3 linked regions of the Macaca fascicularis genome follow. The protein of the gene in region 3 binds, or shares a complex with, the protein of the main gene of each other region. Links are inferred from orthologs where the notes say so. Each region holds a gene or a part of one and is shown on either strand. Other genes may lie near its edges.

The links.
Region 1: AAR2 (region 3) and PRPF8 share a complex: the UniProt entries of both Homo sapiens proteins name them as parts of the U5 snRNP complex. The link is inferred for Macaca fascicularis from reciprocal best matches to the Homo sapiens genes AAR2 and PRPF8.
Region 2: AAR2 (region 3) and CD2BP2 share a complex: the UniProt entries of both Homo sapiens proteins name them as parts of the U5 snRNP complex. The link is inferred for Macaca fascicularis from reciprocal best matches to the Homo sapiens genes AAR2 and CD2BP2.

Annotation. Positions count from the first base shown.
Region 1 is NC_088390.1:1,771,840-1,775,485, reverse strand, and holds the end of PRPF8 (pre-mRNA-processing-splicing factor 8), read left to right. Parts: coding exon 1-123; intron 124-218; coding exon 219-360; intron 361-2,392; coding exon 2,393-2,533; intron 2,534-2,632; coding exon 2,633-2,772; intron 2,773-2,875; coding exon 2,876-3,078; intron 3,079-3,229; coding exon 3,230-3,384; 3' UTR 3,385-3,558; downstream 3,559-3,646. UniProt on the Homo sapiens protein: Plays a role in pre-mRNA splicing as core component of precatalytic, catalytic and postcatalytic spliceosomal complexes, both of the predominant U2-type spliceosome and the minor U12-type spliceosome.
Region 2 is NC_088394.1:28,493,766-28,497,511, forward strand, and holds the start of CD2BP2 (CD2 antigen cytoplasmic tail-binding protein 2), read right to left. Parts: upstream 2,727-3,746; 5' UTR 2,657-2,726; intron 2,150-2,656; 5' UTR 2,124-2,149; coding exon 2,046-2,123; intron 1,766-2,045; coding exon 1,630-1,765; intron 1,505-1,629; coding exon 1,347-1,504; intron 1,247-1,346; coding exon 811-1,246; intron 731-810; coding exon 624-730; intron 558-623; coding exon of another isoform or gene 539-557; coding exon 428-538; 3' UTR 1-427. UniProt on the Homo sapiens protein: Involved in pre-mRNA splicing as component of the U5 snRNP complex that is involved in spliceosome assembly.
Region 3 is NC_088384.1:92,339,048-92,342,793, forward strand, and holds the end of AAR2 (protein AAR2 homolog), read left to right. Parts: intron 1-2,326; coding exon 2,327-2,494; 3' UTR 2,495-3,682; downstream 3,683-3,746. UniProt on the Homo sapiens protein: Component of the U5 snRNP complex that is required for spliceosome assembly and for pre-mRNA splicing.

The sequences.
Region 1 (3,646 bases), on a different chromosome or scaffold from region 3:
ACAGTCGCAGCTCACGGCAACACAGACTCGCACTGTCAACAAGCATGGCGATGAGATCATCACCTCCACCACCAGCAACTATGAGACCCAGACTTTCTCATCCAAGACTGAGTGGAGGGTCAGGTACTGTGAGGGGCAAGAGGGTGGGGATGGAAAGGCCGGCTGCACTACCTAAGGTGCTGGGCTGAGCGATGCTGACACTCCCTACACGTTTTTAGGGCCATCTCTGCTGCCAACCTGCACCTAAGGACCAATCACATCTATGTTTCATCTGACGACATCAAGGAGACTGGCTACACCTACATCCTTCCCAAGAATGTGCTTAAGAAGTTCATCTGCATATCTGACCTTCGGGCCCAAGTGAGTAAGTGGACTCAGGCCACAGTGTGTGCCCAACACATTTTGTGCCTAAAACACCGACCTGAGATTGTCTAGAACTTGAGATGCTGGTTTCAAGATTCATGGATGAGTAATTATGCAAGGATAGCCAAAACAACGAGGCGGGTTTTGGCCCCATGAGATAGCAAAAGCTGTGGCAGCTGAGAGAAGGTAGTAAATGTAGTATTAACCTGATAGTATTTGGAAGAGAATAGATATGGTCAGAAACAAATTCCTGACCAGATGTGCATGGTGGTTCACGCCTGTAATCCCAACACTAGGCTGGGCACAGTGGCTAATGCCTGTAATCCCAGCACTTTGGGAGGCCGAGGTGGTGGATCACCTGAGGTCAGGAGCTCAAGACCAGCCTGACCAATATGGTGAAACCCCGTCTCTACTAAAAATGCAAAAAATTAGCCAGGCATGGTGGCATGCGCCTGTAGTTGCAGCTACTAGGGAGGCTGAGACAGGAGAATTGCTTGAACCCAGGTGGGGGAGATTGCAGTGAGCCAAGATCGCGTCACTGCACTCCAGTCTAGGCAACAGAGGAAGACTCCATCTAAAAAAACAAAACAAAAAACCTTTGCCTGTAGTCCCATCTACTCAGGAGGCTGAGGTTGCTTGAACCAAAGCAGTGAGCTTTGATGACCACTGCACTCCAGGCGGGGCGCACTGGCTCATGACTAATCCCAGCATTGTGGGAGGCTGAAGTGGGCAGATCTTTTGAGCCCAGGAGTTCGAGACCAGCCTGGGCAACATGACGAAATGCTGTCTCTACAAAAAAATTAAGAAACTAGCTAGGCATGGTGGCCCACACCTGTAATCTCAGCTACTCAGGAGCCTGAGGTGGGAAGATCACCTGATCCTGGAGAGTGGTGAGTGTAGTGAGCTGAGATCATGTCACTGCATGCTAACCTGGGTGACAGAGTGATACCCTGCTTCAAAAAAGAAAAAAGATGCATAACTTTACTAGTGTATCAGGGATATTCATAGTTTATAAAAGATCATTTTGGGCCGAGGCCGGTGGATCACTTGAGGTCAGGAGTTCAAGACCAGCGTGGCCAACATGGCAGAACCCTGTCTCTATGAAATATATGAAAATTAGTGGGGCGTGGTGGCATGTGCCTGTAGTCCCAGCTACTCAGGAGGCTGACGCAGAATTGCTTGAACCCAGGAGGTGGAGGTTGTAGTGAGCTGAGATCACACCACTGCGCTCCAGCCTTGCCAACAGAGTGAGACTCCATCTCAAAAAAACCCACTATTGCCGGGCGCGGTGGCTCAAGCCTGTAATCCCAGCACTTTGGGAGGCCGAGACGGGTGGATCACGAGGTCAGGAGATCGAGACCATCCTGGCTAATACAGTGAAACCCCGTCTCTACTAAAAATACAAAAAATTAGCTGGGCGTGGTGGCGGCGCCTGTAGTCCCAGCTACTCGGGAGGCTGAGGCAGGAGAATGGCGGGAACCCGGGAGGTGGAGCTTGCAGTGAGCCGAGATCGCGCCACTGCACTCCAGCCTGGGCGACAGAGCGAGACTCCGCCTCAAAAAAAAAAAACCCACTATTAGTGGCTGTCAGGTTGGCAAATTTGAGAAGACTGTTAATATCCTGTGTGGGTGAGTTTATAGTAAACAGATCCTCTTACTTGGTGATAATGTAAAATTTAAAATAGCACCAAGTGCTGGATTTCCAGATGTTCTCAGTTTGTGAAAATACACTGAGCTGGAGGTTTGTATGCTCATTTGCTTATGAATGCTATCCTTAATAATCAGCTGGGGAGCTTGTGAGCAGTGCAGATTCCTGGACCCCACGCAGGAGGTCCTGATGTGGGAAGTCTGAAATGAGGTCCATGTTTAACATTTTGAACAAGCACCGCAGCTGATTCTGATACAGGGGTTCTGATCATGTTTTAAGAAACTGTCCTCGTTCTTGGGGGAAGGAAGGAAAACAGGGCTGGCAGCTCCACCTCTGAGCTGGTACTAAGAAGAGTTTTGGTTCCTGACCCCTTTGTCTCCAGATTGCAGGATACCTGTATGGGGTGAGCCCACCAGATAACCCCCAGGTGAAGGAGATACGCTGCATCGTGATGGTGCCACAGTGGGGCACTCACCAGACCGTGCACCTGCCTGGCCAGCTGCCCCAGCATGAGTACCTCAAGGTAATGGAAAGTGATGGAGCCTGGGAATGTGGAAAAGCTGGTGCGATTCCTGTCTGCAGATGGGATTCTGAAGAGCTCTGTACTCCTCTTTACCTATAGGAGATGGAACCCTTAGGTTGGATCCACACTCAGCCCAATGAGTCCCCGCAATTATCACCCCAGGATGTCACCACCCATGCCAAGATCATGGCTGACAACCCATCTTGGGATGGCGAGAAGACCATTATCATCACGTGCAGGTGGGCCTGGGCTCCTTGGGAGGAAGTATGGTGGGGCAGGGATTGCAGGCCAGGGCCCAGAATAGTGACCTGAGCTGTTACTCCGTCCTCGTCCCTCCCCCAGCTTCACACCAGGCTCCTGTACACTGACGGCCTACAAGCTGACCCCCAGCGGCTACGAATGGGGCCGCCAGAACACAGACAAGGGCAACAACCCCAAGGGCTACCTGCCTTCACACTATGAGAGGGTCCAGATGTTGCTGTCGGACCGCTTCCTTGGCTTCTTCATGGTCCCTGCCCAGTCCTCGTGGAACTACAACTTTATGGGTAAGTGGGAGGAGCCTGGGGACGTGGGGATAGCAGTAGTGATAAGGTGAGGCCATCGCCTGTCACACTTGGGGCCTGGCTGGCTTGGAGGTGGTGCCGGCTGCATGAGGCGGGAGCCCTGTTGACGCTGGCTGTTTCCTTCTCCCCGAAGGTGTTCGGCATGACCCCAACATGAAATACGAGCTGCAGCTGGCGAACCCCAAAGAGTTCTACCACGAGGTGCACAGGCCTTCCCACTTCCTCAACTTCGCCCTCCTGCAGGAGGGGGAGGTTTACTCTGCGGACCGGGAGGACCTCTATGCCTAGCTGTTTCCCTGCCTCCAGCTTCAGCCTCCTGAGGCCGGAGCCTCAGCCCCTCCAGACAGGCCGCTGACATTCAGCAGCTTGGCCTCTCCCTCTGTCTGTGCTTGTTGTGTTGTTGACCTCCTGATGGCTTGTCATCCTGAATAAAATATAATAATAAATTTTGTATAAATAGGAGTTCAGGGGCTGTTTGTTTTTTTTCCCCCCGAACCCAAATTCTGGATTTAGGTCTAACAGGAGAAGGAAACAGCCAAAGTTAACAGGG
Region 2 (3,746 bases), on a different chromosome or scaffold from region 3:
CCACTTCTGGGGCTCCATCCCCTGGTGGCTACAAGGACAAAGAATCTGACATCCTGAAAGCCAAAGACCTAAGGGGAATCAAACAAGAAACCTCAGAGAGGAACACAAAGTAGCGCAGTTGGGGGTGTTTACACAGCAAGCAGAGTCCAGGCAGTGAGGCCACAGGACACCTGACAGGCACCTCCAAAGAAGATCTTCATGGGAGCAAACACTCAGGGACCAAGGCAAGTCCAAAGTGGCTGTGGAGAAGGCCCCTGGCTTCTGGCCGTCAGCACAGCCAAGGCCCCAATACACAACTAAAGGCTTTTATTGGGAAAGGGAAATTGACTGAAAAATGGCCTCCAATTTCCTCACTGCCTGAGACACTTGGTGCCTTCTCCACAAAGTCCAGGAAAGAATGACCCACCAAACTGGGCCCCCAGCAGGCTCAGGTGTAGAGCTCAAAGTCAATGCGTTTGGAGTTGTAGAACTGACCACCAGGGGGGTCCAGCTTCCGGCAATAAACACCGTCCGGGAAGTAGCCTTCACTCACCCAGGTCTGCAAGGAGAGGGCAGAGCTGGGGAAGGACTGACAGGAGTAGGGGAAGCAGGGACAAGCCAGAAGGAGGGAGAAAGCAGCTCACCTGCATCTGGGCGCTGGTGAAGGGCCCATACAGCTCGGCATCCCCCGTGTTCTCCCACTTATATTCCCACATCACATCCACCAGACCATCTCCTGGCGACTCTGCTTCTAAAATAACAGGCAAAGCCATTTGACCTCCGGTGTCTCACTTCCCGCCCACTGCCCCCTCCTCTGTCCTCCAAGCTTACCTCCTCTCTGGGTAGGGGTTGGGGTCTCCAGTTCCTCCTCTGCCACTTCCTCAGCGAACATGTCCAGGGAGGGTGGGGGTGTGGGATTGTGGGGTCCCACGGTCTGACACCCCAAACCCTTCAGCCGCATAGCCAACCGTTCCCTTGTTTCCTGGTACACGCCAAGGTTGCCCCGGGCCACCATCTGGTCGGCCAACCCGGAGAGCCGGTCCAGGCGCTGAGGGGAACTGGGACGCCCAGGCCCCTTGCTGCTCCCTTTGCCTCCTCCTCGGGCCCCTAGACGCCTCAGTGCCCCAGCCACTGTCTCTCTAGGCAACAGAAGCTCCAAAAGTCCCTCCAAGAGGGCTTGGGCACTCATTGGGGTCTGGCCCAAGCTGTCTTCCTCCTCCGAGTCTGAGGCCTGGTGCTGGCCAGGTGGCCGCTCCCGGATCTTCACCTGTCATGGAAAGATGCAGTGATTTCCCACGAACTGCCATGGGAGCAGGCCTAGCATCCGCCACTCCCCGGCCCCAGCCACACCAGCCCCTGGGCCTCACCCAGTCAATGTTGTCCAGCCAGCTGTCTCGGATCTGAGCATCCCGGTTCAGGAAGTAGTTGCCATCAGCATCAAAGTGTCCTTCCTCCATCTCCTCCTGCAGGTTAAAGGGTGTGATCCGAACACCCCCCTCGCTGGGGAGTGTGGCTGCCTCCTGACCTGTACCAAAGACACAGGTGCCCTTTTCTAGGCATGGAAAAGAGAGACTGGAGCCTCCCTCACTCCACACCACCAGAGGCCCCTACTTGTTTCTCCAGCAGAGTGTATTCTTGGGTACAGCTCACCTTCTACATCCTCTGAGGCCAGGATGTCGTATTTGCTGGACCCCCCATCATCATCATCCTCCTCATCGCTATCCAAAGAGTGTTTGCCTTTGAAGCGGCTCCCAGGACCCCCTGACCCAGCCACAGGGTCCACCAGCTGTGAGCAGGAGTCAAGTCAAGAAATGCAGGTTACTGGCTACCTCCCCAAATACTTCCGGATCTGGACCCAAATATTCCCCAAATATTTCAGGATCTCGACTACTTCCCCAAATATTTTAGGACCCACACTGAAGATGCTCCCAACCCATTCTTCAGAGAACCTGAAAAAACTAGGCTTTTCTCTGCCTGCCCGCCCCGCCCCACTCCCGCCAGCTTTCTTTCTCCTCAGGCTTCTAGCTCCTCTCTTTCCCCCACACAAAGGAGTCTGGCCCCCTCACCTTCTTCTTGGGGACACTGATTTCATCCTCATCTTCCTCATCTCCCACGCCTTGGAAGGTCACTTTCCTCTTTGGCATGACGGGGCAGAGAGGTGTTTCTCAAGCTGAGGAAAGGATACAGAGAAAGAGAATGGGGTGAGGAGGGGACTCGCCACCAGAGGACCCAGCACAGCAAATATTTTTCCTGGTCTGTGACAGGTACAGTTTGGGAGCGGAGGGAGCACAAAAGCAAGGGCTGAAGAGAAGCTGGCAGCCAGGAGGCCTGCAGGACTTGGGTCTAGCATCCGCGAGTTAAATGGGGTGGGGACGGAGGAGCGGACCCTCTGGATCCCCTGACCCTGGCCAACAGGGAACAGACTTCACCACGTGACCGCTCCCAACTCCAGCCCCCGCAGTCTGGGCGCCACCGGCTCGACCGGCTGACCCCCGCCTCCTACTCTGGCTCTCTCGGAGCTCGCGGGGCCCGGGCAGACCCAGGACCTGGCGCTCTCGCCACCCCGTTCCTCCCTGCTCCGAACTCCCAATTCCGTGTGGTGAGCCCCAACTGTCCCGGGCTGTGTACAAATTAGAGGGCCACGGGGATCCGGGCTGTCCCACCCTCGCGCGCTCACCTGGGACTCCGCGGGAGGCGAGGTGGCGAAAAGAAGAGATGCTTGCGCCAAGGCTACATCCGGGGCACCCGGCCGCCATCACCCGGAAGAGGACTGTGGAAGGCGCCTGGGAAGCCCGGAAGTGGCTTCACTCGGGTTAGGGAACTAACTGGAAGAGCGGGCGGAAGTACGCGGTGAGCGAGGGAAGACGCCTCCACCCTCTCTCCCGCAAGAAGTGACGTCAGTCGCGTGGGAGGACAATGGCGAGAAGAGGGGACCTGTGAATGCCTACACTCTGACCGGGCGTGAGAAATGGCCGGAAGTACCTTCGATTCCCTCATTCAAGCAGTAGAGGCTCTGGAGAAAAACGAGAGCATCTACTTAAAGGGTCGCCCAGGGTCAGGATGGAGGGGCAAAGTCCGAGCAGGGCCAGTGGGTCGCTGCCCCGTTTTCCTGTGCTGGGTTCGAGTCACCCTTCCACCAGGGCTGAGGGCTCAGCGCCCCTACCGTCTCGTTAGAAATCCTGCCTTCCCACTCCTGTGGTCCGGTGGTAAGCTCTCCTATCTGAGAGGTGGAGCCTTGCCCTCCCCGAGGGGAAGCCTGGCTCTCCCGATGGCCAGCCCGGGGCCCCTGGACGGCTCTCGGGGCACTTTCTGGACACAGCTCCCTTTAGGACCCAGGGGAAGTCATTTGTCCCACGCCCATACCCTGGGCGAGTTCCTGGCTTCTGAGGTGGGAGAGCCATCACTGGAGAGGTGGCATTGGCACCAGTACCCAGGCCAGAAGTCCCTGTGCCCTGCTCTCAGATAGGCCTGGAAAAGGGCAACAGTGCCTCTCTGTAGCATGAAGCCCCTCTGAGCAAACAGGGCCTAGCACCACGGCCTGGAAAAGGGCAACAGTGCCTCTCTGTAGCATGAAGCTCCTCTGAGCAAACAGGGCCTAGCAACTCGTGCCCAGGTAACAGAATGTGGCCCAAGCAGAAGCGGGACTGGGGGAGGTGGCGGGGGGTCAGCCCCTGTACTGGAACCTCTAGCTCTTGAGGACACTCGGAGCCTGCATCCCCCTAAGCAAAGACTGCCCAGGCGGCACCTGCTGGAGCCAGACGAGGACA
Region 3 (3,746 bases):
GCCTTTGTTGGGTCAGGTCTCCTGGGGCCCAGCATCTTTCCATGGTGGCCTGAAAGCCAACTGTGGCATGAGGGTGATGTGGATCAAAGAGCTTCTTCCACCGTCACACCCCTGTGTCTCTGGGTGGGCCTGTAGGGTAGCAGATGGTAGTCTGGGAAAAAACACTTCTTCCTTTCTGGGTAATTTGTATTCAGTCATTTAACTCCTCTCAGCTTCCATTTCCTTAAAATAGGCATTCTGTTGTATCTTCCCAGGGTGTTGGGAGGATCCAGTTGGATGCTCTGTGAAACTTCTTTGAAAACAGTAAAACAATATAAGAAGGAATCATGGGTTTGCTGTTACTCTTAGGAAGGGGCTGGGATCCCGGACAATCTGGAATGGGGTTTCAGATGTGGAAAAAATTACCATTCTGCTCCCCTGCCCCTGTTTGTATTAAATGAAACTGTTCATGAGAGCATCAGAATAAGGGGTTAATAGAATATAGAAAGAACTCCTACAACTCAACAATGCAAAAACAACCCAATTTAAAAATTGACAAGGAAGTTGAATGGACATTTCACCAAAGAAGATACAGAATGGCCAATGTGCACATGAAAACATACTCAATATCCACTGATCATTAGAGAAATGCAAATCAAAACTACAGTAAGATACTACCTCCCACCTATTAGAATGGCTATGATTTAAACACACACAGAAAATAACAGGCGTTGGCCAGGATGTGGAGAAATGAGAACATTTGTGCATTGCTGGTGGGAATATAAAATGGTAAGGCCCCTGTGAAAAACAGTGTGGCAGTTCATCACAGTTTAAACAGGGAGTTCCCGTCTGATCCAACAGCTCCACTCCTGGGTTTCTGTGCAAAAGAATTGAAAGCAGAGACCCTAAGAGATATGTTCATAGCAGCATTATTCACAATAGCCAGAAGGTAAAAACAACACAAATGGACATTGACAGATGAATAGACAAACAAAATGTGGTATCTGCGTACAACATTCAGCCTTCAAAAGAAAGGAAATTCTGACACATGCTGCATCATTAATGAACCTTGAAGGATATTATGCTAAGTGAAATGAGCCAGTTGCAAAAGGACAAATGCTGTATGATTCCACTTAGATGAGGTGCCTACAGATTCATAGAGACGGAAAGTAGAATGTGGGTTGCCAGGGCCTGGTGGGAGGAGGGAAGGGGGATAGGGTAGTCGAATTCATAGAGATGGAAAGTAGGATGTGGGTTGCCAGGGCCTGGAGGGAGAGGGAGGGGCAGTTGCTGTTCAACGGCTGCTGAGTTTTGGTTGGGGATGATGGGGTCATTCTGGAGATGGATGGTGATGATGGTTGTACAGCAATGTTAATGTACTTAATGCTACTCAACTGTACACTTAAAATGGCTAAAAGTAATATGTATATTTTGCCACAATTTAAAAAAAAATATTTAAAAATGGTTGAAGTGGTAGATCTTATGTACAAATGCTCCTCAGCTTCCCATGGGGTTATGTCTTAATAAACTGTAAAGTCAGATATACTGTAAGTCAAAAATGCATTGATTACACCTAATGTCCCTAACATTGCAGCTCAGCCTCGCCCACCTCAAACGTGCTCAGAACACTAACACTAGCCTACAGTTGTGCAAAACCATTTAACACAAAGCCTATTTTATAATGAAGTATTGAATATCTCATGTAATTTCTTTAATACTGTACTGAAAGAAACAATTCAAAGTGTGGCTTCTTCTGAATGTGTATCACTTTGCATCATCATAAAGTCGAAGTGTCGTAAATTGAACCATCGTAAGTCAGGGTCCATCTGTATATTTTACCACAATAAAAAAAAATCAAAGACAGCTTTTAAGGGGGATAGAAGCCTCAAACTGGCAGCCTGTGGCCCATTTAGAAGATTAGAGCAGCAATTCAGTCTTGTTGGCTTGGCGCCTAGGACTTTATGGGGTCCAGGGGCTTATAAGCACCCCCAAGCCTTTCTTAGGACCTTAGTACCAACTGGTGTAGCTACTACCTGTTCCTCTGGGATACTGCCCCAGGTGTCCAGTAGAACCCCCCAGGGGGTGGGGCCGGAGTCATGGCCCCAGCCTTAACAGTGGGGCATCTCTGCCCAGATAGTAATTTTCCATTCTAGTCCTGCCCTAGCATCTCAGCTGGGTTTGGACCTTCTTGCTTGGTTTGGGGGGAGCACAGCAGGTGTCCTGGGCCTATGCCAGTGGCAGCTGATCCACCCGCCCCAGAGAGCTGAACACCATGAGGAAATTTCCACAGCTTTCTCGCGCTCGCCCCCCGTCTTCTCAGGAGTGACTTATCCTCTGTTCTCTGTAGGTTTTCTTTTCCTCTGCCTGCAGCATTGCCGTGGATGCCACCCTGAGGAAGAAAGCTGAAAAGTTCCAAGCTCACCTGACCAAGAAGTTCCGGTGGGACTTTGCTGCAGAACCTGAGGACTGTGCCCCTGTGGTGGTGGAGCTCCCTGAGGGCACCGAGATGGGCTAACTCGGGCAGCGCTCTCAGCTGCGAGGGGCCCCTTGCCACAGGGCTGCAGTCCTGGCCTCTCCATTTACTTCTTCCTATCCTGGGACCTGTGAGGGCAGCAATCTCTCCAGATCCCACAAAGATGGAGCCAGAATTCCCTTTTTCACTGATAAATATGTTTCTTCATTGCCAAAGAGGCTGTACCCATCCTGAAGGCACATTTGTACGTTCCCCATCAGCTGGGCCTTGGTGCTAACCTGGCTGAATTTCACACAGGCTCTTACAGAAACTCCTAGGGGAGACCTGCCTACATGGCAACCAGATTCCCTCTGAGTGAGAAGGAATTGAACCAAAAGTCCTAGAAAGAACTGATTGCTTGTTCCATAGGAGCTTAGAAAACGAGAAACCCTGGATTGCCCAGGGGGTCTGAGAGGTCGGTTGGTGACTTTTTTTGCAGTTAAATGCAGGGTGATGGGGAAATGAGCCTGCCTCTTGCTGAATGGGAGCAGAGGACTTGGGCCTGCGGCTTCTTGGAAGCCCTTGATTGGGAAGAGAGTGTCAAGGGAGGCAGCTGGATTCAACCTGGCAGGTGGTCAGCTTCAGCTTTCTCCATCAAAATCCCATTCTCATGTCCAGAGGCCCAGTGGGTCATCTCCCAAGGTGGGTGTGGCCCCTGACCTCAGGGGCCTTGCTGGTGCTGTTACCTCCCACCTGCTCCATCCTGAGGCCTCACCCAGAAGTGGGACCCTCCCCTTCCTCACCAGAGCCACCGTCACTGTTTCTGATGACCTGGAGCGTCAACAACAACCAGAAAGGTTTCTGCCCAGGGCAGGCTTCTTAAGGCCCTTAGGAAGTTTTGTGCCTTCCAAGTGCTGAGGAAGACCTGGTCAGCCTAAATCTTCCCAGTCCTGCTGTGGAGCTGTCAGTCACTGGAATAATAAGCTCCTGGTTCCTTGGGAGTCCTGGGGGCACGCCTTTCGTGCTGTGTGGCAGGGTTCCTCTCTAGACAAGTACACAGGCCCTGCCACCCTGACATCAAACTGCTGTACTATGATCACAGTCCCTGTGCCATCCTTTTCCAAGGCTGGGGCTCACACCAGGTTTTTGAATGAGAATCCCTGCTGGTTAAGACTTTTGCTTCCACTTGTTTCCTTGGAGATGTTTTTCCAAGAGCATAATGTACATTAAAGTCTTCGAGTTGAGACAGAATCCCCTTGTGTGTGTGTCTCTTGCAGCTAATCCGCCTGATCTCCAGAGCAGCCAGGCTGCTGTC